2 linked regions of the Stegostoma tigrinum genome follow. The protein of the gene in region 1 interacts with the protein of each later gene in a biochemical or structural test. Links are inferred from orthologs where the notes say so. Each region holds a gene or a part of one and is shown on either strand. Other genes may lie near its edges.

Region 1 (15,397 bases):
TCCCTTTTATTTTAAAAGATAATAGGGTGGCATTTGTCATTCTCCAATCTTTAATATAATCTATAGAACTTTGGAAGATTACCAACAATGCATTAAATATTTCCAGGGCCACCTCCTTTATAACGCTTTGATGTACATTCAGAACCTCATGACTTGTCAACCTTTAACCCATTAATTTCCCCAGTACCATTCTCGTACTAATACTAATTTCCTTAAATTCCATCATCTCACTAGACCCTTAGTTCTCTGACATTTCTGGGACATTATTTGTAGCCTCTTTTGTAAAGACAGAACAAAAGTAAATGTTCAAATCTTTAACTTTTCATATCCCATCATAATTTCCCAGCTTCTAGCTTTAAGGGATCTACATTTGCTTTTACTAATCTTTTTCTTTTCACATATTTATGGAAGCTATTATGGTCAGTGTGACATTCCCTGGAATTTCACCCAGTGTATTTTCACCCTCTTGTCCAGGCCCTTGCCTCTTTTGCATAATTCTAAAATGCTCCCAATCCTCATGCTTGTTTCTATTTCTCGTAATTTTGAAAATCTCTTCTTTGAATCTAAATCCTTTTGTCGGCCACGGTTGAGCTACCTTGCCTCTCTCATTTTCATGTCAGACAATAGTTGTGATTCATGTGCAAGATATTTACATATAAACTATTGTCTATGTACTGTGACAAAACTGTCACTTTGAAAAGATTATTTTGTCTTGGGTTTTTTTGAAGAGACGTTGTAAAGGCAGAGGTATAGAACTGGCTACTGAAAACAGCTGAAGTAAATAAGTTAGGAGGTCTTTAGGTTTTTTTTTAAAACTGCGGTAACAACAGACGAGGAGAGGCCAGCTCTCTCAGACTAAACTTTCTCGTTACTTTTAGCTTGAGCAGTCAGAAGCTGTTTGGGATCCCAGGACAGGTGGAAGCTTCAGCAAATGATTCTTAGCTGCCACTTTCTCTGAAATCTCTCAATACAGTTTCTTCCTGGATTGGAGGGCTGCATGTAAGAATCAGTGTCTGAATTTATTTTTTTTTGTCAAGGGGTATGCTTAAGGTATGTTACTATATTCGAACAGTTAATTAGTAATAGGTACTGTATATAATCTTCAGTTACATTTTTCAATAGTTAAGCTATTCTGAATTCCCATTTTTTTGGTTTGTATTTTAACTATAGCATTTAAATAAGTTGTGTTTTGCTTAATTAGTTTGACATGTTGCATCACATCCGGGAAATGCACTTCACACCTACCCTTAAAATTAGAAAAAAAAAATCAGGGCCTAGGTTATCTCCTTAAAATATTTTGCATGGGGTCTGAACGGGCCACAACACTTCCATCAATCACTTTAGTGAGGTTCCCTGATCCATCCTTACCAACTCATGCCTCATACCCTCACAGCTCCCTCTATTTTGATTCTGGACCCTTGTCTCAGATTCAGCTACTTCATTTTCCATCTCAGTGAATGTCATATAACGATCACTCAAGATAGCATAACATACGCATTCCTGGAATTCCTCCTTCACAATAGTATTTCTAGCTTGATTTGTCTAATTTAAATTTAAATTAAAGCCACTCATGATTACAGATGAACTCTTATTGCACACAACTCTGATTTATTGTTTAATACCTTATCTTGCATCTCCACTATTACTGCGGGGGGACTTTAGACAATCCCCAGCAACATTTTCTGTCCCCGTGTTTCTTATCTCTACCAACGCATATTTCACATCATGATTTTCCAAGCCAACAGTAGTCTTTAATGCATTATTTTACTAATTTATTAACCACACTACTGCACCTCTTTTCCCTTCTTCTGTCCTTCCAAAGGAATGAATACCCTTGAATGGCGAGTTCCCATCCTTGGTAACCTTGCAGCCTCATCTCCATAATCACAGCCACATCATGACGAGTATTTGCACTGATAATTGATCTACCTCATTACGAATGCTCCGCCCATTAAGAATTAAAGCTTTTAGACCTGACTTGTTAGTCATCTGAGCTTTCCTTTGCATTATGGTCCCACATGCTTTCTGCCCTCAATTTTTCTGCCTTAGCTTTCTGTCTCTTGTTTCTATCCTTGTTGCTCCATCCTCGGTCTCCCTGCTCAGGTTGACTTCCCCTTCCCCATCTTTAAAGAATATTAATTATGCTCTGATCTTATTTTGCTTCAAACATTCCCATCGCAATGCAAAGTTCTTGCCTTTAGTCTTTGGAGACCTTACTTTAATTCTTAACTTTAGATCCTTCATGTTACTTTTATGAGCTTTTATATTAGCCCCAACTTTCGGTTATATCCAAGTACAGCTGTTTGTTCTAAAAAGAAAGGAACAACGTGCATTCCAGCCTCAAAAAAAGATTGTTTTAGCTGTGTAGGGTACCACAGCTGGTATAGGAGGAAGATTGTCTTTAGTCTAAGAAGCACATGGACAAAGGAAAGACTGATCAAAATAGGCTTTACAGCTGGTTGCAAACTTGAGAAATTCTTTAACTAACTAGCACACCTGAAGGTGGACACCAAAATTTACTCATCAGTGAAGCAGGGATATGGGAACCCACTGTAAGCTGAGAACTAGAGACTGTTCACTATCAGAACTGTAATTTCATAAAGCATGAAACATCTCTTAACTATAACGGGGAATGATCTTCTTTGTAGTTTAAAGCCTAATTTGCCAACCAAAGCAAAAAAGTGTGCTTGCTCAATACCGTTTTTTCTTTTAAAATTTGTTTGTGGGATATGGATGTTGCTGGTTGGTCAGTACTTATTGTCTGTCCCAGTTGCCCTTGAGAAGGTTGTGGCGAGCTGCCTTCTTGAACCACTGCAGTCCACCTGGTCCAGGTATTAGTCACTTGATACAGTGAAAAGTTTTAAAAACAGGATATCTTGCTATGTCCACCTGTCAACCTCTAATTCAGAGTTTGAATCTTTCGTAAATGTTTTCTGTCTCAGATCAGAACAAAATTAGATTTGATACAATTGCACAGTCAATATCAGTGTTCTGATATTAGTTAAAAATTGACCTCCAAGTTTCCTATTTTCTAAGACATAAATGTTTAAAAAGTAGGTAACTTGTATACAATAAGCTGACTGAGACATCAGAAATCACCACTGCAAGTAAATTAATTTTGGTCAGTAGTTGGGTGATAAGATGTGGGATATTCAGTACATCAATGCTGCTTCATTATTCAATTGGTTCATAGCTGATCTGGTCAACTTCAAATCCATTTTCCTACCTTCTCCCCAGTTCTCTTACTGATTTAAAAAAAAAATTCTGTCTCAGCTTTGACTATAGTTAATGGTGGGGTCCTGGGGAGTGGTGCCAAACAAACAGACCTTGGGGTGCAGGTGCATAGTTGAGTCGCAGGTAGACAGGGTGGTGAAGGCAGCATATGACACACTTGCCTTCATTGGTCACTACATTGAGTATAGGAGTTAGGATGTCATGCTGCACCTGTACAAGATGTTAGTGAAGTGACTGTAGAATACGGCATTCAATTCCGGTCTTCCTGCAATAGGAATGATGTTGAGAAATGTGAAAGGTCTCAAAATGTTTAAGGACGCCCTTGGGATTGGAAGGTGTCAGCTGCAGGGAGAGGTTGAGTGAACTGGACTGAGAGGTGACATTATAGAGTTTTATAAAATCTTGAAGGGCATGAACGGCATGAATAGCCAAAGTCGTTTTCCTACAGCTGGGGAGTCCAAAACTAGCAGGTGTAGCTTTAAGATAAGAGGGATATAAGGAGCAACTATTTCACAAAGAGCGTGGTGCTTGTATGGAACAAACTGCCAGAAGAGATGGTGGAGGTGGGTACAATTACAACATTTTAAAGGTAGCTATATGGGTACATGAATAGGAAGGGCTTACAGGGATATGGGACATATGCTGAAAATTGAGAATTTAATCAATTTAGGGTACCTGTCAGCATGGATGAATTGGGGCGAAGAGTCTGTTTCCATGTTCTACGACTCTATGACCCAGCCTCCTTGGCTTAAAAATAACCCACAGATTTCCAGCCCTCAGAAGAAATTCCTCCTTATCTCTGCCTTAAATGGGAATGTATTGTGATCATATCCACTGAAATAGCTCAGTTGTGAAAGAATTAAAGATCCCTAGTTCAGTTCCGGGTTTTGGCAGTGAATTCATTTTGGAAGTCCACCACAGTTGTATAATAACATCTTTGAATAGGTCAATTAGAAAATCTCTCCCCAACAAGGGAAACAATCTTTCCACATCAAACTTGTTAAGTTCTCTAAGAATCATACAGGTTTCAAAAAGGTCACTTTTTTTATTCCAAATAGCACAGGCTGTATTCACTCAACCTCTCCTCATAAGACAGTCCTTCCATACTTGCTATCAACTTAGAAAATCTCCTTTGGAATGTGTCTAATGCCAATGTATCCTTCCTTAGATAAAGGGGCCCAAAACTGTTCACAGTCATCTCTGATGTAGTCTGATAGCCGTATACAGCTTTAAACAAAACCTTGTAACTTCTAGATACCATTCCCTCTGAAATAAAGGTCAATATTCAATGGACAAGAACTCCATAATCCTGCTGTAGTCTTTCTCCATTCAAATAACATCCAGCTCCTCTATTCTTTCTGTCAAAATGCAAAACCTCACACCTCATATTTGAATGGCCTAGTTTTTGCCCATTCTCTTAATCTGTCCACATCCCTCTGCAGATTCTTTGTATCATCTTCACCACTTGTCTTTCCACGTCTTTTTGTATCATCCATAAACTTGACTATAATACACTGACTTTCCTCATCCAAGTGATTAATATATGTTGTAAATAATTATAGCCTCAGCATTAATCCCTGTGATGCACCATTAATTACAGGTTGCCAGCATGAAAATTGCCTCCTTATCCCAATTCTGTTTCCTATACTGCCACCAACACTGTGGCCTCTTAAGTGGCGAATATGTAACCATCTGAAAATTCAAATATATTACATCAACTACTTCACCTTTATCTGTCTTGTTATTGCCTCAAAGGATTCTACTAAATTTTTCAGGCTTGATTTCCACCTCATGTAGCCATCATATTGCGCATTTCTTTGCTGTTGTATCTTTTGCAAAAGATGCTGACATTTTCATCAATAAAAGACAGTAAGCTAACTTGCATATAGATTCTTTCCATTTTGATTGTTTGGTCATGTCAAGTTGAAACTCTAATAACATTTTTATCCAAGGAAGTATCTTAATGGTAATGTATATTTTAAAAACATGATCTGAAGCAAAAATAATTATTTAATCTTCTCACTCTCAGCAGATCCTCACCAAAGTTTTGCATAGACAAAGGCAACAATGGTGACCAGTGTGGTCTCGACTTCATTCCAGAGGTTCTCTTTTATTATTGAAAAACCCAAGTTTTAAGTTATTAATCTTAAAATTAAAGCCATAGTTTTATATTTTTAATTAAAATATGTTCAAAATGAACAAAATGTTAAAAAATTGGAACAAAATACTACTAACATGACTACATTTAAAATATATTTATACTGGTTCTAAAAGGCAGCAAATTTCACCCTGCTAATTCAATAGGCTACATAACTAAGTTCAAGTTTTAGGACAATTTGGAAGATATACAGATCCTCAATAATTTTAAAACTACATCATGCTATGCTCCATTTTAAATTGTGAAGGCCTCTGTGATCTTCACAACTCTCTCCAAGTTTTTATTGTGGCTCTTCTAAAATTCAAATTTTTTTAAACTTAATGTTCCCAAGCATGGTACACTGGTGCACTTAATCATTTGCTTCTTCCAATCCAAGCTTGATTCTGCTAGTTAAAACTAAGAGTGCATATACCAAAGAGAAGTTATCCCTTTTTTCCACAAGTAGTACACAAAACCGGTGTTTAAATCAAACACAGGTATATTTCACTATTTATAATGCATTAATATTTGAGCAGTGTGCTGCATCAGCACTACATTTCTAAAAGTTGGCTGTAAAGGTATAAGTTTTGTCACTGCACTACACTGTAATATAATAGTACCTGAAAAAGGGAGCACTGAAAATTCCTAAATATTTTGTTACAGACATATCAATTCATATCTCTAGTTCAATTAAAAAGCTACTTTGTGAAGTGTTTATGTTGCTAATGTTTGTGTAAATCAGCAAAAGCAAGTTGTGCATCCATTCACAAATTTGAGTGATGTAGTAGACAAGAAAACATCATTGTTTTATTCAAAAATCAGTACTCAAGTGAGATATTCTGTAGGAGGAGGTAAATGTCATCAACATAAAAATACAGTATGCACATTATACCAGTTTAAGGCTTAACTGAAAATTATTTGGCCTTTATTAGGTGATTATGAAGAAAAATATACTCTCATCTTTAACAATAAGATTAAAAATATTACATCCATGTGTATTAGAGAATTTTGCTGTGAGGAAAACAATAGAACATTTACTTGTGGAAATAAATAATAAAACTGAATCACAAAACTGTTATGTTTGTAGTAATTATAACTGTTGACTTTTTTTAAAAAAGTAAACAGTACCAAAGTATGCAACTAAATATCAAATTAGTTTGTTACTATACATCTTGTTGCAACTGACAGCAATACTATTTCAGTGCTTTGGGCATTACTAGACAGTGCTTTACATCAACATATAAGCTTTATTGTGAACAAAAATTCATTATGCAGGATTAGCTTTTCTTTTGCGAGTTAACAGCTACTGCGGCTATGTTTACTATAAATAAATTCAAAACAATAATAATTCTCGCTTTCTGGCAAAACAAACAGAACACTCCTCAGTAAATTGACAAAATCGATTTAACTGTTGTTCATCTATCGATTTAACTCGTATTCACCTCGAATGTACTGAGAAAAATTATTAAACACGATGTAAATAAATTGAAGGGGTGAATCCATAATTGCCCATGTTTTCCACAGAACTGCAACCGGTATTCTCAGGCAAAGGGAGACTTAACAACATATCCTTCGGAGATGGTAGTCAAATTGCTTTTTTGTGTGACTTCTGATTTAAAGGCGATCTTGGCATTGCTTGAACACAAATAAATCATCAATATGTCAAACTTGCCACGAATTGTTGCAATAACTTTCAGTTTTGACGTTTTGTTTCAAATCAGTGGCTTTTGTTCGAGACATTAGTCCCTTGAAGTGCACGGTATTGTGCCTTTAAAGGTTAAGTCCGCCTTGTACCTTTTTCACCTTGTGAAATACCCCACTCCCAGACAGAAAAAAAGCCGTAGGTACAGTGGTGAGCTTGGCCTATAATCGAAATCAGTAACAAAACAGACATGCTTCACAAACAATGGGAAAAGATGAAGACAACAAAAAGAATACTGTCAAATTTGTCGAACCAGGCGGCTTTCAATTCCCCTTGGAGACCTCAGCTTTCAGCAGTACCTTGTCCCTCCCCGAGCCCCCCAAAACCCCCGCCCTTTGATTTTGGTGGAGCATCCTGGAAACGTTTGGCGATTCGCTTCCTGAAAACGCAACCCTCCTTCCTTCCATCCAGACACACACAAAAAAAACCAACATGCAAAAGAAAAGCCCCACAATATCACTCAGGAATGTGTTCCTGATGGGCCGGACACACTCGGAATTAAACCGCCCCCGTAAATAAAATAGGAACAGGTAAGGGTAGGTGAATGACGCTGAACGAAAGCAATAGGCAACAGAGACTCACCGAAGAGAGCACGAGCGTGCATTATTTGCGGGTATCGCCGCCACCGCTCGACAGCCGTTGACAGCACGAGCCTCCCTCTCGCTCGACCCACCGCCAGCCGGCGCGCGCCTCCGAGACGGTTAAAATGACGCTGCGTGCGCGTGCTCGGGCCGCCGTCACACCGTCACTGCGCAGCTGCAGGTTTCACGTGCCCGTTCGCATAGCCCGCATCACCTGGCTCGTGCCGCCGATGATGGGTTCCGACCTTTGTCCGAGTTACAGATGCTTTCCTCTTTGCCCTACCTCGGTGGAACCGTGAGATCATTTTTTGTTTTAAAGGAAAACACCGAAACTGGAATTGCAGAAATTTTTGAATCGCCGGTTTAAAAAAAATCGGTCGCGAGCGAAGTATGGAAAATAAGGAATGTTGAGACAGAGAAAGATAGGTAGAGAGGGATAGAGATGATTAAAGGTATAGAGCTTGATTAAAATGGAGAGAGGCAGAAAGAATTGTCTAGCAATGCCAGCAGATTTGTCAACAGCGTAAATATTTGTCCAAAAAATGCCTTCGTCAAAAAAAAGCAAAGCGGTTTTTGAGCCAAATGGAGATGGTTGCTTTCCGCCCTGACTTTAAAACTCTCATTTCCCAAATGGATATCGATTCCTTCAAGGATTGTGTGGTTAAGACAGAACTCAATACAGAGAAAATACATTCCAATTCCAGCCTGGCACCGCCTGGCTTAAAGTTATTGGCATCCTTCCAATGACACTAGGGAATTCACTGTTGAGTAATATCTGGCAGGGGTTTCAGAGATAAGCTGTGAAATGATGACAAAATCTGGGTCAATTCCCTTTATATTTGGATTTCTTTTGTTTTGCGTCACTGTGTTTTCAACAGGTTCCGCTTATTCTAAATTATGCCAAAGCTATACGATATGTTTGGTACGAACACTGCAGCGAGACCAAATTGTGCAGATGATTTCTCATTGAAATGGATTTTATGTTATTTTCATTGCTCCTCCCCTTTCAACAAAGTTTTCAGTAGTGCTGAGATAACTGTCAGGTAGGGGCAGACAAACTCCTGGACGATTCCCATCGTCATCTGCCGTGCCATTTGTTTTAATTACATGCAGCGGGTTTATAATAAATGAAAGTGTTCAAATCAAATGAAATAAAAGCTTATCTTTAAAAAAATCTGCTGCTGTTCCCCTGGGCTGCTCGCAATAGCGTTAAGGGGCGTAAAACCTATGCCAAAGCGGGTGCGTAGAAAAGACGATTTGTCTTTTTGTTTTGGTATTCAGAACTTCTAATCGCTCAATTTTTGGATCGTGGTAAGCAGAAGGAGCTATTCACCAGGCGTCATCGCAAAGGAATTTCAGGTACATGGCCAACCGGAAGAAAAGATTGCATCTTGCGATTGAAGCCAGGTTAAACCAGTCAGAAGAATGCTGAATCCCAAGATTTGCATTTAGATGCGCAATAGCTAGGCCAAGTTTGATGTTCAAAAAACTTAATTGGAGTCTAAATTGGAACCATTAGTGTACAATGATTGTATTGTTAATGTATTTGCTCCATAACAGTGAATTAAGAAAAATAAACGAAGATCCTATTTTGTTTTACCCTCAGTACTTCCAGCTGAGATAGCAGCTGTTCCAAGCTTTGTTTTTGAGTCAGTCTCCAACAGCGCAGGGTAACTTGTCCTCTGAGACTTTTTCGTCCTCACTGTGTGGAAAACATCTATGCTGCATTCTTCTAGATGCAAACAGCATAGATTAAGAACTCATTAATGTGGAATCATAGGTACAAATGCAGATCTAACCACTGTTTAGCACAACTGATTGTATAGACTGACTTAGATCTTTATTTCGCAATAGTTGTGAAACTAGGCTAATAGTCACACAGCAATAAATAAGTAAGTAGCACACTCATAAAGCCACACCTTGTTGGTGTGTACTGAGCAACATTTTCATTAGAGATAATGGGAACTGCAGATGTTTTAAATAATCCTTCAGTGCTTATCATTTATATTTTCATATCCACATTCTATTCTATTCAAGTTGTGATTTTTTTTTTCCAAAACCAGATGATTTATCATTAAAGGTTCCAATCCTATCATATGCCTGTAATTCTCAGATGGCCATATGCATTCACTGCTGAGAACTCTCCAAATCTTAGAACTAAAGGTGTACGTTCAATATATTGTAAAGTTAAAATGTTGTTTATAGTAAATAAACATTTTAATCCTTGTCCCTTGCTCCTCTGAAAATGTGTTGCATCATAGAGATAGTTGAATTCACAGGGATGCAGGCACTAAGCTATAATGGCCTCCTCAACCTTCTATCAACGTTTATCTTCATTCGAGGTGTCTCGCTATTGACTAACTACAGTACCCCTTTCTTGTATTGTTCCACTGCTATTTACAAATCAGTGATTATGCCACAGTTTAAAATCATCTGGTGTGTTGGCTGCCTCTTTATTAAATTTACATGAAAAGCATTAAGACTGTACAGCATAGGACCACAAGATGATGCCAGCAATGAAATGCTGTCAACTCAAATTTTCGTTACGGTCAGGGTGAGGTTTGAATCAGTTAATATCTTGCCCTATAGTTAGGAGAAGAGCATTGAAATACTGGCCTCAGGTTTTACAGGATACCATAGTTCTACAAACTCTCACTCCTGGCTAAAAGGTGAGATTGGGGTGGGGGAGCATGGGAGTGGGAGGGTAGCCCATCCAACTGAACAGCAGCTAGCCTGCTACCATTATACAGGCAGTTGTAAAATAAGAGACCTGAAACTGGAATTCAGCCCCTCTAGACTGGAAATCATACATCACAAAGCCTGCTGCATGATGTGAAACTGGCAGCTATTGACTATCCCTGAAACTGCATGGCTTGCTAAGCAACTTCTAAGATGCAGGGTTCCTTCACCGAAAATCATGAAGTATCAATTGAATTTTAACACAAACCACCAGTTTCATAGTCGATTTTAGTAGTGCCAGCAATTTTTCGAGGAAAATTTTGAATTTCAAACCTAAAAAAGTTTGGACAAAGATTAGGTTTGGAATGCATATTCAGTGGATTATTAAAATAAGTAAACTTACAACTATTGTAGAAAACTATGTCACTTGCATTTTCCACTGAAGTTCTTGATCAGATGATTGGGGAATAACAGATTCCTTTGTTCAAGAAGTCAGTATTGAGAAGTCATCAAGTTAAAATTGTCAGTAAGAGAAGTCAGAAGAAATTTCACACAGTAAGAGTTGAATCAGAAACATTGCATTTTGTAATGGAAAATTGGATAAATATTTGAAGCAAAGTTGGAGAATACAAGAGTTGAAATATTTTGAGGTTAGAAGAATTAATTTCAGATTGTTCTTGAAAAGAATCTGAACAGCATGATAAGATGAATGGCTCTGACTATGCTGTAAGCTTTTATGGTTATAGCCTCAACTTGGTCAAATCTCCAGTACTCATCCTACTCTTTCTCACATCCTACTCACCCAATCGTGTTGTCACCGACCTCACAAGCTCCTCCAAAATCACAAATTCAAAAACTTTGCATTTCATTTCCTTAATTTCTGGAACCCCTTTCCACTTGAGTGTTGACGAGAGCCATCTCAACTTCACCGAAATCAGTCCTTAGTAAGGGGCTCACCTTTGTCCCCCTACAACCACACATCAACAAATACCAGTCACGATTGGACATAGAGCAGTTTTTCCGCTGTCTTCGCCTCCATGCCTACTTCTTCAACCGGGAGCCTAACCCTCCCTCCACTGACCCCTTTACCCGCTTCCAACACAAGTCCTCCTCCTGGACACCACTCCCAGGCCTCCTACCCTCCCTCGACCTCTTCATCTCCAACTGCCGTCGAGACATTAACCGCCTCAACCTCTCCACCCCTCTCACCCACTCCAACCTCTCCCCCGCAGAACGGGCAGCCCTCCGCTCCAACCCCAACCTCACCATCAAACCTGCAGACACGGGTGGCACAGTGGTAGTATGGCGCACTGACCTCTACATCGCCGAGGCCAGACCCCAACTCTCCGACACCACCTCCTACCGCCCCCTCGATCATGACCCCACACCCGAGCACCAAACCATCATCTCCAACACCATTCATGACCTCATCACCTCAGGGGACCTCCCACCCACAGCCTCCAACTTCATTGTTCCCCAACCCCGCACGGCCCGTTTCTATCTCCTTCCCAAAATCCACAAACCTGCCTGCCCTGGTCGACCCATCGTCTCAGCCTGCTCCTGCCCCACCGAACTCATCTCCACCTATCTGGACTCCATTTTCTCCCCTTTGGTCCAGGAACTCCCCACCTACGTCTGTGACACCACCCACGCCCTCCACCTCCTCCAGGACTTCCAATTCCCTGGCACCCAACACCTCATCTTCACCATGGACGTCCAGTCCCTATACACCTGCATTCCACATGCAGATGGCCTCAAGGCCCTCCGCTTCTTCCTGTCCCGCAGGCCCGACCAGTCCCCCTCCACCGACACCCTCATCCGCCTAGCTGAACTCGTCCTCACCCTCAACAACTTCTCTTTTGACTCCACCCACTTCCTACAGACTAAGGGGGTGGCCATGGGCACCCGCATGGGCCCCAGCTATGCCTGCCTCTTTGTAGGTTACATGGAACAGTCCGTCTTCCGCACCTACACAGGCCCCAAACCTCACCTCTTCCTCCGGTATATTGATGACTGTATCGGCGCCGCCTCTTGCTCCCCAGAGGAGCTCGAACAGTTCATCCACTTCACCAACACCTTCCACCCCAACCTTCAGTTCACCTGGGCCATCTCCAGCACATCCCTCACCTTCCTGGACCTCTGAGTCTCCATCTCAGGCAACCAGCTTGTAACTGATGTCCATTTCAAGCCCACCGACTCCCACAGCTACCTAGAATACACCTCCTCCCACCCGCCCTCCTGCAAAAATTCCATCCCCTATTCCCAATTCCTCCGCCTCCGCCGCATCTGCTCCCACGATAAGACATTCCACTCCCGCACATCCCAGATGTCCAAGTTCTTCAAGGACCGCAACTTTCCCCCCACAGTGATCGAGAACGCCCTTGACTGCGTCTCCCGTATTTCCCGCAACACATCCCTCACACCCCGCCCCCGCCACGACCGCCCCAAGAGGATCCCCCTCGTTCTCACACACCACCCCACCAACCTCCGGTTACAACGCATCATCCTCCGACACTTCCGCCATCTACAATCCGACCCCACCACCCAAGACATTTTTCCATCCCCACCCCTGTCTGCTTTCCGGAGAGACCACTCTCTCCGTGACTCCCTTGTTCGCTCCACACTGCCCTCCAACCCCACCACACCCGGCACCTTCCCCTGCAACCGCAGGAAATGCTACACTTGCCCCCACACCTCCTCCCTCACCCCTATCCCAGGCCCCAAGATGACATTCCACATTAAGCAGAGGTTCACCTGCACATCTGCCAATGTGGTATACTGCATCCACTGTACCCGGTGTGGCTTCCTCTACATTGGGGAAACCAAGCGGAGGCTTGGAGACCGCTTTGCAGAACACCTCCGCTCAGTTCGCAACAAACAACTGCACCTCCCAGGCGCAAACCATTTCCACTCCCCCTCCCATTCTTTAGATGACATGTCCATCATGGGCCTCCTGCAGTGCCACAATGATGTCACCCGAAGATTGCAGGAACAGCAACTCATATTCCGCCTGGGAACCCTGCAGCCTAATGGTATCAATGTGGACTTCACCAGTTTCAAAATCTCCGCTTCCCCTACTGCATCCCTAAACCAGCCCAGTTCGTCCCCTCCCCCCACTGCACCACACAACCAGCCCAGCTCTTCCCCTCCACCCACTGCATCCCAAAACCAGTCCAACCTGTCTCTGCCTCCCTAACCTGTTCTTCTTCCCACCCATCCCTTCCTCCCACCCCAAGCCGCACCCCCATCTACCTACTAACCTCATCCCACCTCCTTGACCTGTCCGTCTTCCCTGGACTGACCTATCCCCTCCCTACCTCTCCACCTATACTCTCTCCACCTATCTTCTTTTCTCTCCATCTTCGGTCCGCCTCCCGCTCTCTCCCTATTTATTCCAGAACCCTCACCCCATCCCCCTCTCTGATGAAGGGCCTAGGCCCGAAACGTCAGCTTTTGTGCTCCTGAGATGCTGCTTGGCCTGCTGTGTTCATCCAGCCTCACATTTTATTATCCTGGAATTCTCCAGCATCTGCAGTTCCCATTATCTCTCAACTTCACCACCACCTCTCTCAATTCACATATAGTCTAAATTGTTAGAACTGTTTGCCCTACATCTAGTACTGGGTAAATGGAACCTTTTTCCACTTAACTATTGCAAAGTCCAAAGCCTTTATCTTTACCTTCCACCACAAATTGTGTTTCTAGTCACTGACTCCACCCCTTTATCTGATCAATCTGGGGCTGAACCAGACTTAGAGTCATAGTCGCACAGCATGGAAATGGACTCTTTGGTCCAACTTGTCTGCACTGATCAAGTTTCCCTGACTTTTTACCTTGGTTTTCTATTTAATGAGATAAGTTGCAAACCACATATCCATTCCATCACTAAAACTGTACGTTTCTGTCTCCATAATTTTACCTGTTTTAGATCATCTGTTCCTGAAATCCTCACCCTGGCCTTTATAAACTTTTTTTAATATACACTTTGCTAGTATCTTCCATCTTCCACACACATACAGTTTTCAAAAATGCTATTATTCATCTTTTAACTTGCACCACATTCCCTTCACCCATTTCATCTGAGTTGCTGATCTCCATTAGCTCCCAGTTAAGCAGTGCCTCAAACTTAAAACTCTTATCCTTGTTTTAAAATCTCTCCAAGGCATCCCCCTACTGTAACTCTCATCAGCACAATCTTCCAAGATTGCCACCCAGGTTGACAGGGCTGTTAAGAAGGCATACAGTGTTTTAGCTTTTATTAATAGAGGGGTCGAGTTCCGGAACCAAGAGGTTACGCTGCAGCTGTACAAAACTCTGGTGCGGCCGCACTTGGAGTATTGTGTACAGTTCTGGTCACCGCATTGTAAGAAGGATGTGGAAGCTTTGGAAAGGGTGCAGAGGAGATTTACTAGGATGTTGCCTGGTATGGAGGGAAGGTCTTATGAGGAAAGGCTGAGGGACTTGAGTCTGTTTTCATTTGAGAGAAGAAGGTTGAGAGGTGACTTTATTGAAACATATAAAATAATCAGAGGGTTGGATAGGGTGGATAGGAAGAGCCTTTTTCCTAGAATGGTGACGGCGAGCACAAGGGGGCATAGCTTTAAATTGAGGGGTGAAAGATATAGGACAGATGTCAGAGGTAGTTTCTTTACTCAGAGTAGTAAGGGAATGGAACGCTTTGCCTGCAACGGTAGTAGATTTGCCAACTCTAGGTACATTTAAGTCGTCATTGGATAAGCATATGGAATACATGGAATAGTGTAGGTTAGAGGGGCTTGAGATCGGTATGACAGGTCATCACAACATCGAGGGCCAAAGGGCCTGTACTGTGCTGTAATGTTGTATGTTCTATGTTCTATCTCTGCAGTCCTCCAGTTCTGGTCTCATGCAAAGTCTTGGGTTTATTCCTCATTATTGGTTCCATGCCTTCAGCTGCTGTGGTGTTAGGATTTTGAGTTCCCTCCCTTATCATCTATGCCTTTCAATTTTTCTTTCCACATTAGCCTAGCGTCTTGGACAGGTTTCTGCTCTGCTTCCCTGAATATTATGTGGTGTAGAGTCAAA
Region 2 (15,398 bases), on another chromosome or scaffold:
TACCAATTTTGGCGTTTTCTGCAAAATTGTTTAACATTCCTCCCACATTTTCATTTATCTAACTTATGCATACAAATAATAATGGTCCCAGTACTGATCCATGTGGTACATCACTAGATACCAGCCTCCAGTCACTCAAACAGCTTTGTACCACTACCCTTTCTGTCCTATTACCAAGCCAGTTTCTGATCCAACTCAACAAGTTTCCCTCAATTCTTTGTGCTTTAACCTTCTCAATCGGTCTCCCATGTACGAACTTGTCAACAGATTTGCTAAAATCCATATAAATTACATCAACTGAACTTCCCTTAATCACGCATGATCACATTTTCAAAAAGTTCAAACAAATTTGTTAGGAATGACCTCCCTCTGACAAACCATGCTATTTCTAATTAACCCGTACCTTTCCAAGTGGGTATTCATTTGCTCCTTTGGAATTTTCTCCATTGGTTTCCCTACCACTGATGCGAGGCTCTCCAGTCTGTAATTTTGTGGTTCATCTCTACCACCCTTCTTGAAAGATGGAACCACATCAGGCACCCTCCAGTCCTCTGGCACTTTCCCTCTGGACAGAGGTAAATTTAAAATTTGTGTTAGATCCCCTGCAATTTCTTCCCTCAACTTCCACAGCAACCTGAGAAGCAATTCATCCAAGCCCGGACAGCCTCCAATACTTTCCCATTTCCTATGTCAAATTGTGCAAGTTCCTCACAATCCCTTTTCCTGAATTCCCAATCTACATTCTCCCTCGCTAGAGGGAAGACCTAAGATCTCATTTAATACCCTTTCAACATCCTGTAGCTTTACACACCGGTTGCCTCCTTGGTTCCTATTCTTTCCCTGCTTAACCTCTTTACCTTTTAATCTATTTACACAATATCTTAGGACTTGTGAACAGAATTAGGGAAAATCCTTTCTCATGCCCTCTTTTTGCTCTTTTACTTGCTTTCTTGTTTACTGCTGCATTTCCGTATTGCTCTAGGAGCAGAGTGGCAGTGATAGCTTTGGGCTTGCTAAAAGCCCTTCTCTTCTCCCCCGTCCAGTCCTGAATTGTCCTAGACACCCAGGGTTCTCTGAACTTATTGCTCCTATATTTCCCAATAAAGAATACATGCTACCCCATTGCTCTGCTGAAGACTTACCACAATGAGCTGTTCCCAGTCAACAGTGGCCAGATCTTGCTTTATTTTAATAAAATCTGCCTTTGCCCAATCCAAAGCCATCTTTTGCAGGCCATCTTTTTCCACTTCCAGAACAAATTTGAACTATACTGTGTTGTGGTTGCCATTGCTAAAATGTTCTGCCAATGTCACATTAACATTTGTCTGGCTTCTTTCCCCAGAGCCAGTTCCAGCACTGCACCATCCCTTTTTCGGCCTTCAATAATTTGATACAATAAATTCACGTGGATACATTTCAAATAATCCACCCTCTCCCCTCTAAACCCTTAACACTATGACTATCCCAATTTATGTTGGGAAAGTTGAAATCCCTTAGTATAATTGCCCTGTTATTACTTCTACACACTTCTGTGAACTGTCTACATATTTGCTCCTCTTTCCTAATGACTCTTTGGAGCCTAAAATACCTTCCCAGTAAACTGGCTGCCACCTTAACATTCCCATGTTCTACTCACAAAGCCCTGTCTGAGGACCTTTCCAAGATCTAACAACTGATTCTGCTGTAGAGCAGGGTAGGCATAGTCCAGGTGAGTAAGAGTATTGGGTGACTCAATAGGGGCACAAACAGTCGTTTCTCTGGCTATGAATGAGAATCTAGGATGGTGTGTTACCTCCCTGGTGCCAGGGTACTGGATGTCCTGAAATGGGAAAGAAAATATGCAAAAGTCATTGTCTACGTTGGCACAAATGACATCGGTAGGAAGAGGTAAGATGGCCTCTGAAGACAATTCAGGGAGTTAGGTAAGGAGCTTGAAAAAACAACTAGCAGAGTAGTAATCTCGGGACTGCTACCAGTGCCGTGGGCTAGTGAGGCCAGGAACAGGGAGGGAGTACAGTTCAACATGTGGCGAGAGAGTGGGTGTAGGAGGGAAGGCTTTAGCTATATAGATCATTGGGATGTCTTCTGGGGAAGGTGGGACCTATACAAGAAGGATGGATTGCACCTCAACTGGAGGGGCACCGACAGCTTGAGGGGGTGGGGGGGTTAAACTAGTGTGGTGGGTGTGGGAATCAGAACAACAGGCCAGTAAGCGCAGGGGCTGGGGACAAAAGCGAGACTGAGACATTCATACTACAGAGTAACAGCAGACACGGGGAAGTCATGGTGCTCAGATGGACTGGAGGTCTGGAATACATATACTTTAATGTAAAAAGTGAGGCAGTTAAGATAGATGAACTAAATGCATTAATTACTGCATGGAATTATGATGTTATTGCCATTGTGGAGACATGGTTAAAGGAGGGACAGGACTGGCAGTTTAACATTCCAGAATATCACTGTTTTAGAAGGGACAGGAAGGGTTAAAAAAAAAGGGTTGGGGGATTGCATTGCTGATTAGGGATCATGCCACAGCTGTGTTGAGGGAAGACATCTTGCAGTAAAGCATTATAGGTGGCACTCGAGAATAGGAAGGGAAAAATCACAATGTTGGGAGTTTTCTATAGATCTCCCAACAGCCCACAGGAGACACAAGAGCAGATACGTCGTCAGATGCTGGAAAGGTGTGAAAAAAGCAGGGTGGGTGACTTCAACTTTCCTCTTGTTGACTGGGAATCCCTTACAGCCAGGTGCTTGGATGGAGAGCAATTTGTTAGATGTGTCCAGAGGACTTTTTGAGACAGCATGTTGACAGTCCAACCAGAGAGGAGGCAATATCACACTTGGTATGAGGGAACAAGCCAGAACAGGTAACTGATGTTTCAGTAGGTCAGCATTTTGAACTAGTGACCATACCTCCATAAGATTTCGAATAGTCATGGATAAGGACCTCGGGTGAGGATGTTTAAATGGGCAAAGGCCAATTCCATCCACATTAGACAGGAATTGGGGAATGTGGATTGGGAGCAGTTATTTCAGGGAAAATCTACATCTGGCTTGTGGGACGCTTTAAAAGACCAGTTGATTAAAGTGCAGGACATGCATGTCCCTGCAAAACTGAAAGATAGGAATGGCAGGATTCAGGAACCATGAATGACAAAGGAGTTTTAAGACTAGTCAAAAAGAAAAAGCAATCACAAAATTGGTCCAGGCAGCTACAAACTGACTAAACCATTGAGGAGTATAGAAAAAGTAGGAAGGAACTTAAATGTGGAATTAGGCAGGCTAAAAGGCATCGTGAAATGTCTTTAGCAAACAGGGTCAAGGAGAATTGATTGATTTTTGTCACATGAACCAAAATACAGTGAAAAGCTTTGTTTACAAGCAGTACAGGCAGATCACAGCAAGCAAAGGATGTACAGATTGAAAAGACTTGAGGCATCCAGGTTATATTGCAGGTTACGTTATTTGAGGCTAGAGTCCATTCAACGGTCTGATAAAGACCAGAAAGAAGCTGTTCCTGAATCTGCTGGCGTGTGTGTTCAAGCTTCTATATCTTCTGCCTGATGGAAGAGGGTGTAGGAGGTCATTACCGGGGTGAGATGAGTCTTTGATGATGTTGGCCACCTTTCTGCGGCAGCGAGCCATGTAAATAGAGTGCATGGATGGAAGGTTGGCTTCCATGATGGTCTGGGCTGTGCTAACCACCTTCTGTAGTTTCTTACAGTCGTGGGCAGAGCAGATGCCACACCAGTATGCACCCCAACAGTATGGTTTCAGTGGTGCAGCTGTAGAAGTTGGTAACTGACCTTATGGACATGACAAATTTCCTGAGCGGCCTGAAGAAGTAGAGGCTTTGTTGTGCCTTCTTGACTGTCGCATCTACGTGGGATAGCCAGGATAGGTCATTGGTTATCGTTGTTCCGAGGAACTTGATGCTCTTCACCCTCTCAACCTCAGTTCCGTTGAGGTAGATGAGGGTGTGTTCTCCTCCCTTTTTTCTGAAGTCAGATTAGTTTTGCAAACGTTGAGGGATTGTTTTCATTGCACCATGTTACCAAACCTTCTATCTCCCAAGGCTTTTTATGCATATATTAGAAGGAAGAGGGTAGTAAGGGAAAGAGCAGGCCCACTCAAGGATAAAGGTGAGAAGTTATACATGGGGAAGCCACAAGAAGTTTGGGAGATCCTTAATGAGTACTTTGTATTGGTGTTCACCAAGGTAAAGACATGACTTACGCAGAGGCAGGGATGAGCATGTGAATGCCCTAGAGAATGTCAATATATTGAAGGAGGAAGTTTTGGGTTTCCTAAATTACAAAAAAATATACAAGTCCCACGACCAGATGGGATCTATCCCAGGTTACTGCAAGAGGTAAGGAGAGAAATAGCTAGGCATCAGCAGATATCTTCACAGCCTCTTTGCCCACAAGTAAAGTTCCAGAGAACTGGAGATTAGCCAGTGTTGTTCCCTTGTTTAAGAAAGGAAGTAGGGATAATCCAGGAAATTATAGGCAGGTGAGCCTATAAAGGGGAAGTTCTCAGAGAAGATACTGAGGGACAATATATATGCTCATTTAGAAAAAAGTGTAGTAGTTAGTGACGGGTAACATGATGTTGTATGAAGAAAGTCATGTCTCATCAACTTTATTGAATTTTTTGAAGAGGTGACAAAGATAATTGATGATGGAAGGGCTGTGGATATAGTTTATATGGACTTTAGTAATGCATTTGATAGTCCCACCCTTATACATTAATGACCTAGCTGAAGGAACTGAGGGCATCCTGGCTAGGTTTGCAGATGATACAAAGATAGGTAGATGGTCAGGCAATATTGCGGATGCAGGGAGGCTGCAGAAGGATTTGGATAGGTTAGGAGAGTGGGCAAAGAAGTGGCAGATGGAGTACAAGATGGGAAAGTGTAAGGTCATACACTTGGGTAAGAAGAATACAGCTATAGACTATTTTCTAAGTGGGGAGAAAACTTAGAAGTCTGAAATGCAAAGAGACTTCGGAGTTCTAGTCCAGGAATCTCTCAAGGTAAACTTGCAGGTTGAGTCAGTAGTTGGGAAGGCATATACAACTTTGGCATTTATTTTTGAGATAATTTAAAAATAAAAGCACGGATGTACTTCTAAGGCTCTATAAAGCTCTGATTAGGCTACAATTGAAGTAATGTGCACAGTTTTGGGCCCCTTATCTCAGCCCTGGAGCAGGTTCAGAGGAAGTTCACGAGAATGGTCCCAGGAGTGAAAAGCTTAACATCTGAGAAACGTGGAACTATACTCATTGGAGATTAGAAGAATGAGGAGGGGATCTAATTGAAACAGAATATTGAAGGGCCTGGACGGAGTGGGTGTTGGGAAGACATTTTCATTGGTAAAACAGACGAGGACACGAGTGCACAGGCTTCGAGTAAAGGGAACCCCTTTTAGAACAGAGAGAAGGAGAAATTTCCTCAGCCAGAGAGTGGTGAATCTATGATAACAAGGTGTGGAGCTGGATGAACACAGTAGGCCAAGCAGCATCTGAGGAGCAGGAAAGCTGACGGTTTGGGCCTAGACCTTCATCAGAAATGGGCTATGGAATTCACTGCCACAGAAGGCTGTGTAGGTTGTCATTGAGTAAATTTAAGACAGAGACAAATAGGTTCTTGATTGTCAAAGGGATTAGGGGTTATGGGGAGAGTGTGGGAGAATGGGGTTGAGAAACTTATTAGCCACGATTGAATGGCAGAACAGACTCGATGGGTTGAATGGCCGAATTTCTGCTACTATGTCTTATAGTCTTATGGCAGATTGGTACAAAAACTAAAATCATGTGGGATTTGGGATGGGCTGGCTAGATGGATACAAAACTGGCTTGATCATAGAAGAGAGAGGGTAGTGATGAAAGGATGTTTTTCAGAATGTAGACTGGTAATTAGTGGTGTTCCACAGGGGTCAGTCTTAGGTCCTTTATTCTTTACAGTATATATAAATGATCTGGAGGAAAATGTTGGTGGTCTGATTAACGAGTTTTCAGATGACACGAGGATTGCTGGAGTTTCTGATGTGCCGACAATTGTGAAAAGATACAACAGGACACAGATAGATTGGCGATTTTAGCACAGAAATGTCAGATGGAGTTTAATCCAGACAATTGAAAGGGTTGGAGCATCAAATTTAGGCGTGAATTATACAGTAAATGGCAGAACCCTTAGGAAGGTTGACATTCAGACGGATCTGGGGGTGCAGATCCAGGTCCCTAAAAGTGGCAACATAGGTGGCCAAGGTGATTAAAAAGGCATAGAATGGCTCACTGCCATTTTCTCCAAAGGAAACAGTATTGCACAATAACTGCTGGCTTTGTCATACTAGAATTCTTTGAGGAGGTACAAGTAAGGTAGATAAAGACACAGTAGTGCAACAGCCCATAGTATTAAAGATAAAATATGAACATAGATAGAGGATTAGCTAATAGAAGACAGAAACAAAAACAGTAATTGCAGGAAAAACTCAGCAGGTCTGGTAGCATCTATAGCCAGAAAACAGAATTAAAATTTCGAGTTCAGTGATCCTTCTTTAGAACTCTACCCAAAATACCATAACCGTCTTCAAATATTAATTTAGGATTATTAAAATTCACCTACAACATTAGATGAGCAAGACTGCGCCATCTCCACGTCGAGATTCTCTGTCCCTCCAATCCCACTGCCTCCTCGCTCCATACACCTTCCCCTACTCCACCGCCAATCCCACCCACCCGACACCACTCCCCCTTCCTCCACCCTTTCACACACTTCATTCCCACTCCAGCTCCGCCCTCTCATCCGCCTCTTCCTCCCGTTCACTTCGCCTCCTCCATCATCCCAGTGCCGCTCTCCCCGCCCCTCCCGCTCCAAGCTCTCACGCGGTTTCTCCTCGTCCTTCCCCTGCAGACCCGCCCCTTCTTCTCCCATTCACACTCCAACCCCACCCCTTTAGCCCCGCGCCCCTCTCTTACACGCAAGCCGTCCCCAGCCCCGCCCACTCACTCACTGCCCTGCCCGCACACGCTATCCAGCCCCGTCGCCTTCCTCATTCCCCTACCACCCCCACTCGGCCCCTGACCCTCTCTTCCAAGCCAACCCGGCCCCACCCCTACAGGTTCTCGCCCTTCAGCCCGCCCCCTCGCCCCGCCCTCCTCTTTAAGGGACGCTCGGCAGCGTCTGCCACATCCCACTGTGACGTCAGCAGGGCCGACTGGCCGCTTCCTTTGCCGCCGCCATATTGCTGGAAAGAAATCCAGCGACGGGAAATTTGGTTCCCCCCTTGCCCGGAGTTTTCATGTTGTACTGCCGGTATTGAGCGAAAACAACCGCTCCCCTCCTTGTCAAATTTATGAAGCCTCCTTCCTGACAAGACAGAAACTAGCGGCCGACCCCCGATCCTCCTCGAGCCATGTCGACTCTCACTCAGAGGAGCTCCGGCCTCGTCCAAAGGAAGACCGAAGCTTCGAGGAACGCGGAAAAAATCCCCGACGGCGACGACGACCGGAGGGCCGAGCATGAGCAGGAAGACGAAAAAGGCGACTCTAAAGAAACTCGTCTAACCCTGATGGAGGAGGTCCTGCTGTTGGGCCTGAAGGATCGGGAGGTCTTATTTATTTTATTCCGTTTCCATGAGCGGCAATAACATGGCTATGCCTTCCTCTTCAGGTTAAAGACGGTCTGATTTTGTGTGAAAGTGTAGGCCCGCAAGATTGTCAACCTAACCTGAACGGAGGGTGTTTGAAGGGAGAGGCGGGTTCGAGAGTGATTGAGGTGTTTACTGACCAGTACTGAAGGGTGTAATTGCGGGGATAGATGGTGGGATGGAGTTAGTCCAATAGGACTGACGGAGGGTGGTTCTTACTGCTCATCAAGTGTGGTTGCTTCTGTACACAATACCTGCGCTGACTGAACACCAGCTCAGTTCCGGTTACAAGCTGACTGAGAGCCAAATGTTAGTGATGGGAAGACTGGTACAGAAAAAGTATTAAGTGCGGAGCCGTTTATAAGAAAGACTTGGCCATTTTTCTAGTGGGGTGATGAACTGAATAGCGCAACTTTTGTGCAAGGGAATAGAGACACCAGGAAATCTGAAATTTAAGAGGAACCTGGGATTGTCAAGTTCAGACAACACAAAACAATACCAGTTTATGTTTGTGCAGCAGGATCGTGGTAGAAAAATGTCTTTAGGCGCATCACAGGAACTTTGCAAAACAACTGACTCTTAGCCGCCCAAGGGGATAATTGGGTTTGGTTAAATGCCCGTTTAATGAGGTAGGAAAAGTAGGAATGTAATGAAGAAGGATGAGCGAGTTAAGAAAAGAAATGCAAGAATTTGGATCACTGACCCCTGAAGGCTGGACTACAAGTGAGCATTTAGAATCAGGGATGTTCGAGGTCAAACTGGAAGATCACATCTGAAAGGTTCTTAGCTGGAGATGGAGCAGAAATGTGTGAAGCAATGGAGGGAGTCAAAACATAGTTGTGTTTTAAAACTAAGTTGCTTCAACAAAAAGTCACACTAAGTTAACAAACAATGATGGGTGAATGGAACTCTGTGTTAGTATATGGGAGGTAGAAATTTGATTTTTTTTTATGGACGATAATACTGACCAGGTGTGTGTTTCCATTGTCAGTGCAACAAAGAAGTGGATGAGGTGTGCAAAAGCAGATGATACTGGGATGAAGTTGGGTATTGTAATTAATGTATAAGGGTTGTTAGTCATGGTGCAATATGTGACCAGAGGCTCCGCTAAGGATATTATAAGATGCTGGAGTTGCGAACAGCCAGGTTTTGCCACACCGACTTACTAGAGACAACGATAGATTTCTTGACTAAGAAATCTTAATTTCAGAGGAACTCTGAGTCTTGATACAGGAAACAGGTTTAGTTGAAAAATATTTCAGCTTCTGCATTTGCAAGACTGTATGTTTTGCCTTTCTTCAAGTGTTTGAAGCTGTTGATGGTTTTGGAGCAATTCAGTAAACTTATGCATTTAGATGAAATTGCTGTAGAATTATTTTAGGCTAGCTTACTAAGGTTACCACAGGATGCTGGAGTTATGAACAGTCTGGCCCCAACACTTGCCAGGGTGAAGGATAGAGTCTTCCATTTAGTTGTTGGAATTTTCGCTCATTCAGTCCTGAGTATTGGACAAGAGTCTCTGCAATGCAGAACTAATGTCATGTCGGTGGTGACGGGGTAAAACTGAGTGTTGTCAACCTGCGTGCAAAAACTGACATTTTATTTTTGGTGATTAATTGTCATGGGCAGCATTGTAGATAGGTAAAAGGAGGTGCTGCAAAGATGGTGTCCTTTTAAAGGATCTAAATATAATGATTTGGAAGCATTGCAGGTGATCCTCTGATATGAGTAGGTAGATATGAATATAATTAGTCAACTGCGAATCTGTTTAGTTGGCTGATTGGTGAGGTGTTGGAGATGGAAGACATGGTCAGCCGCAGCTAGGATCTGTGGGGATGTTTTGCCTTTGACGTTAACATGAGATAATTTATGATTTTGATAGAGGCTATTTTAGTACTGTGGCAGAGACAGAAATTTGATTGCAAAGAGTTAAATTTGAAGCGCTCAAGGTTGGAGACATTTTGGTATAAATTGTGGGAATGATTTGTGAACATAACTTTATTTAATTTTCAATATTGGATGATCTGTGTAGTTTCACAATGCTAATTTTTATTTTCATCTGAGTTTGCAAGACATAATTTAATAATTACTGTAGTCTACATGCAGTGCAACAACTTTGCTGAAATTTTAAGAGTTGTGAAAGGCTTGCTGATACAGTAGTTCTGTAGGAACTGAATCTTGATACATGATTTGCAGTTTAAAAATACTTCAACTTGCGCATTTGCATGACAGTATGATTTCTGTTCCTTTGAAAAATGCTTGAGGCTCTTAAGTGCTAATTATAAAATAATTGTAAAGAAATCATTTACAAAGTTAGATTTTTTTTTAGGTATAATTGTTCTACGTTGGTGTTTGCTGAGTGATTTTTGTTTTGGAATAGTCCTGATCTAAATCCAAGAATAAAGTCAGACTTGCCCAATTTTCTGTTTTTAAAAAAAACAGTATTGGTTGTTATTACAGTCATCAAATGATGGCTTTTGCCCCATTAATGTAGGTTGCTACTACAGTTACTTTTATGAAAAAAAATCGATTAGATGATGTTTTAGATTTCATTTATTAAGTAACTTCCTTGTGCAATTTCAGTATCCAGAATAAATTTAGAAATGCTTACCTATATTAAGTTATTTAGTTTGAGGTTTCTTTTAAGATTACTTACAGTGCAAAATAGCAACACTCAAACGTACTGCGAGAATTGGGTAAGTCAAAACTGCAGCCATGAAGTTGAGTCAAACACATGTGGCTATCTGTTTTTAGTGCAGCAGTTGAAAGTTATAAGCGCTTCCGTGGAAACTGCTCCAATTTTTTGGAATGTTAGATGCTAAAAAAAGCATGTTCTGTCAGGATCCTTCTTCAGTTTCCTTGATTTACACTTCACTTGTGTTATGAATAAAGTAGAAAACTGGTGTTTAAGATTGGAAGTAAAACAAGAAAAATGCTGGAAATAAATGTCTGGGGGCATCTGTAGGAAGAGAAACACTAGCCCAACCAGCTCTATGTTAAGATAAGTAACGATGAAGAAGAGAAGGATCTATTGCAGTAAAATCTTACATTACGTACACTGTTTCAAGATAGCGCTGGAGCATGGTGACATTTTGCGCTTGCATGTGTGAAAACACTTTTCACTACATTTTTATATACATTTGACAATAAATAAAATATGAATTCTATTCCCTCAATTGTTGTGGCCTCAAGACAGCTTCAGGGCAGCCTGTGATTTTATAGTTACTTAGAATAGTCAAGAATCATAGTCAGTATTCAGGAAACTCTTGTAAATTGTTTAAACGGTTTACCAAGTCCACTCACCTGGCATGCACTCTTAAGAAACCACATAAATAGGAAGAAATAGATGCTTGACCACTTACTTCTGTTGATACAGTTCCCAGATGACCTTACAACGATTGTTTTGTAGAGCTGAACTCGAACATATTGCAATGGATTTGCTTGGAGGTGTTATGATTCAACAGGTGGAAGTTGAGCATTTGGTGCATTTTGAGATTATGGCTTACTACTTGTTCTAATATGTCAATGTCTGTTTTTCTGCATGATATTAGAGGTGTGCATTGGGGGATAGCTACTATGAATGGCTCCACCTGATTAAGATGTATGGTTGCAAGAACAGGTTTTTTAAAAATTTATCTTCTACTCCATATTCCAAGACTTATGGCTCATTGACTGTACAGTAGGTGAGCATGGGGCAGGGGAATAGGATATGGGATGAGGGGTAAGGGCAACTAAGAGCTTTTAAATGCCTCGAGATATGCCTTGTAACCAGCCTGCTTTGGCAATCAACCACTCTTCCTGACCCTGCCTTCACTCTCCTTCCAGAGTTTATTAGATTAACTATTCCCATCGATTCCCTAGAGCAAAATTGCTTGTGACCAGGCTGTTTATACAGAGAAGAGTCTGCCAAGTCAGAAAACAAAAGAATCTAGCCCAACATTTCACATTTCAAAACATGAAAAATAATTGATCTGAATATCTTTACTGTGCACACATTCTACCAGATAAGTATTTTCAGTATATTCTACACGTAATGGAGAAAAAGGTGTTGAGATTTGGGATTTTCATGCTAACTATACATGGCAGATTCCTGATTGGTAATCAAATCATTTAGTGAAGCCCAAGAAACAGATGGGGTTGAAAGCCAAGGTCTTCCAGATGACTGATTCATCCTACCAGATATTGTACACTGTTGGAAATAAGTTGTGCCTTTGGACTTGTTTTGAAAGTTCCCAGAAAGGAGGACCTTTTTGTTTAAATTGTCTGTTGTTTTTTAAAAAAAATTCTTTTCCCGTAAAGAAAACTAGTTATTATATATAGATAACAAAGTGTGGAGCTGGATGAACACAGCAGGCCAAGCAGCATCTCAGGAGCACAAAAGCTGACGTTTTGGGCCTACTCCCTTCATCAGAGAGGTTTTCTGATGAAGGGTCTAGGCCTGAAACGTCAGCTTTTGTGCCCCTGAGATGCTGCTTGGCCTGCTGTGTTCATCCAGCTCCGCACTTTGTTATCTTGGATACTCCAGCATCTGCAGCTCCCATTATCTCTGGTTATTATATATAGCATATTATCCTGATGTTTTGTATGAAAACAATGATCAGGAGTTTGTAGTTCACCTCTCATCTGCTCTGCTATTCAATATGACCATAGCTGATATCATCTTGGCCTCAACTACACCTCTTTCCAGCCCACTCCCCATAACCCTTCATCTACTCTGAATTGAGGGTGCAGTTTGAGAAAAACAGTATTTGGAGCGTGTATTTTTGTATCGTGATAAATTTTGTAGAATTCAAGCTGTTGACTTGAAACTTTGCTTAGTTTACAGTTTAGCACTCTGATTATTTGAAAAACTGTGTAAAATCTTCAAGTGCCAGCAAATTTTGGCATCTTAATTGAACCTGTTAATTTCAAAGACATTAATGTATTTCAGGTGTGGTAGACTAGTGTGATTTCTTTAAATGCTGCTGAAAATATGCCCATTCCACTCTTTCTGTCTGCCTAATTCAGATTTTTTTCACTTGATCCTGCATACAAGCCAAATATATTAATTTGAGCCAGAAATTCCAGATGTAAGATATGTACAAAACAACAAGTTAATGACTTGAATTAAAAATGTTTGAAAATCCTTGTACCATACTTTTTAAATCAAGAACAGAAGGGGAAACAATTAAAGATAGTGACAAAACAAAATTAATTATTTCTTGTTAAGTTTTCAACTTACTGCTACCGTACAATTTTTGAGGGCCATTATAGTTGAGTTTGCTGCTCCTAACTGATTTATTTCTTATTACCTTATTCATTATTCCTTAATTCACTTGTGGGATGTTATCAATGCATTTATTGTCCATCTCTAATTGCTGCTGAGAAGATGGTGAATTTGAGCTGTTGCATTTTGTAAGTAAACCCACAGTACTGTTAAGGAATTTCAGGTTTTTGAACAAGTGGCAGCAAAGGAATGGCATTGGAGTTCCATGTCAAGGTGATGTGTGACTTGAAGTGAAACTTGTAGGTGTTGTGTTTCCATACATTTGTTGCACTTGTGGGTGGCAGAACTCTTAAATTTTGGAGATGATGTTGAAAGACATTCTTGATGTATTACTACTGTGCATCACTGCAGGGAGGGAATATTTAAGGTGGAGTGAGGTACTGAACAAATGTGTTGCAATGTCCTCTATGATATTAAACTTTTTGCTTTGTTATTTGAACTGCATTGATTGAGACAAATGAGAGATTTCCATCAAACTCCTGACTACTTCTATATACATGGCAATTGGACATTGGAGACTCAGGAAGTGAATTGCTTCAAGAAATATATACTGTCTGATCTGCTTTTGTAGACACCGTGATTATATGGGTCCTCCAGCTGCGTACTGGTCAATGATGACTTACACCCAGCCCTAAACCAAAAGAATATTGATAGGATAGAATATCCTTTATTGTCACTTGTACTCCAGTACAGTGAAAACTTTTTACAATGGCTGCCTTTTGGTGCCATCTTAGATATAAGTACCTTGGTACAAATCCTAGCGTTTAAAAAAAAATAGTGTTGTTATACAAAGAGGATTAAAAGGAGAAAGCATGAGCATTACTTAATGTTTGAGAATGAGTTATGAATGAGGTAGTTATAACACTATGAAAAGTGTTTACATTACAGTCTGGCAAAGAATTCCAAAGCATGGCAGCTCAGCATGTGGTGTCAGGTGCAAGTCCAACAATTATCCCGCATTGCTCCAGTCTTCAGATCACTCCTTACTGGCACTCAGCAGCAACAAGGTAGGTTGTGCAGTATGGGATTGGCTTCAGAGTAAACAGTAATGCCATTGAGCATCAAGAGGAGATGGTTAGATGTTCTTTTGTTTGGAATGTTTCTTGCCTGGCACTTCTGAGCCATGATCATTGCTTGTCAGTAAACGGTGCAAGCCTCAATACATAAAGGTCTTGTGGTATGTGGTGATGATCTAGTTAATATTTGAGGTGTCATGAGCACTGAACACTAAAGTCATCAGTGAAGTTTTCAACTTCACACCTTAGGAAGGAACTGATGCTGGCAGGGCCTAGGAAACTACACCAAAGAACTTCTGAAAAAAATCTTCTGATTTGATATTAAAAAAATCTGTTCTGTCTTTCTCTGTCTTGTTTGTTCGCGCTGTCTCTCCCCCTCTCATTCGTAATCTTTCTCTCGTTCGTGTTCGTGTTTGTGTTCATTTTTTCCCTCCCTGCAAAATCCCTTTGGTTCAGTCACCATTTGGCCTATCCTAGAGAGGCAAAAATTCTTAAGGACTCTGTCCATTAACAAGAGTGGCTGAGTGGCATTAAAGAGCTCCACTCAGAGTATATCGTGTACTCTTGCTATCCACGATGTGACTTATAGTTGGTAATCAAAATTGAGGAATACTGATTGCTCAGCCAAAGGCAGGTGGGCAATGGCCAGTTCCCTTGCTTGTTTCTAACCTGATGTCATGAGATTTCATAAAGTCTGGAGTCAACAGTTTGGACTCCCCAGGCCATGGACTCAAGGCAGCTGTATACAATTGTGTTCCCATATCTTTTGGGTCTGGCATATGGAATGCACTGCTGGCAGTGGCAGTGGAGTCAGATACTTTCGAGACTTTAAATGCGACTTTTGGATAGGCAGGGTAGATTGATCTTGGTAGGATAATAGGTTGGTACAACATTGTGGGCCGTAGGGCCTGTACTAATCTATGTTCTGTGGTGATGGAGGATTCTGGGACTTTCAGGGTAAGTTATGATTTTGTGAACATGATTGCTCCTCTCATCTGAGAGAGCTGTCCCAATTTTGGCAGAAGTCCCCATATGTTTGATTGACCAGTCCCTACATTTTATGTTGGGAGTGTATTTTTTATCAATATGAGCAATTCAGGCGTGACAGGCAAAACAGACCAGATAGAAAGATTTTGTGTGCTTGTACAAAATACATGTGGTTGACTTAAATACAAATGCTGACTTCTAGACCTGGGACCAGCTCATTACTTTCTTAACAACTAGTATGTAATTAATTTTGGCCTACAGACTTATATTTTTATTCATTCATGTGCTCTGTGTTGCTTTGATTGTGTGTATTGTGGAGATGTGACTGCATAATCAGTATTTAATGAGCTTGAGTTGGGGGTGTTGAGGTAAACTTGCAAGAAATCCTTGGAAACAATGAACTACTTGTTGCTTCTTGCAAAAATAAATAGCCTTTTTCATCAGTGCACAGGTATGCAGAAAGTGTAACTGGTT

The links.
Region 2: the proteins of myo18ab (region 1) and golph3a form a complex in vitro, tested with the Homo sapiens proteins (2 studies listed by IntAct). The link is inferred for Stegostoma tigrinum from reciprocal best matches to the Homo sapiens genes MYO18A and GOLPH3.

The regions. Positions count from the first base shown.
Region 1 is NC_081380.1:29,904,752-29,920,148, forward strand, and holds the start of myo18ab (unconventional myosin-XVIIIa), read right to left. Parts: upstream 7,765-15,397; 5' UTR 7,656-7,764; intron 1-7,655.
Region 2 is NC_081354.1:140,802,857-140,818,254, reverse strand, and holds the start of golph3a (Golgi phosphoprotein 3), read left to right. Parts: upstream 1-7,212; 5' UTR 7,213-7,421; coding exon 7,422-7,616; intron 7,617-15,398. UniProt on the Homo sapiens protein: Phosphatidylinositol-4-phosphate-binding protein that links Golgi membranes to the cytoskeleton and may participate in the tensile force required for vesicle budding from the Golgi.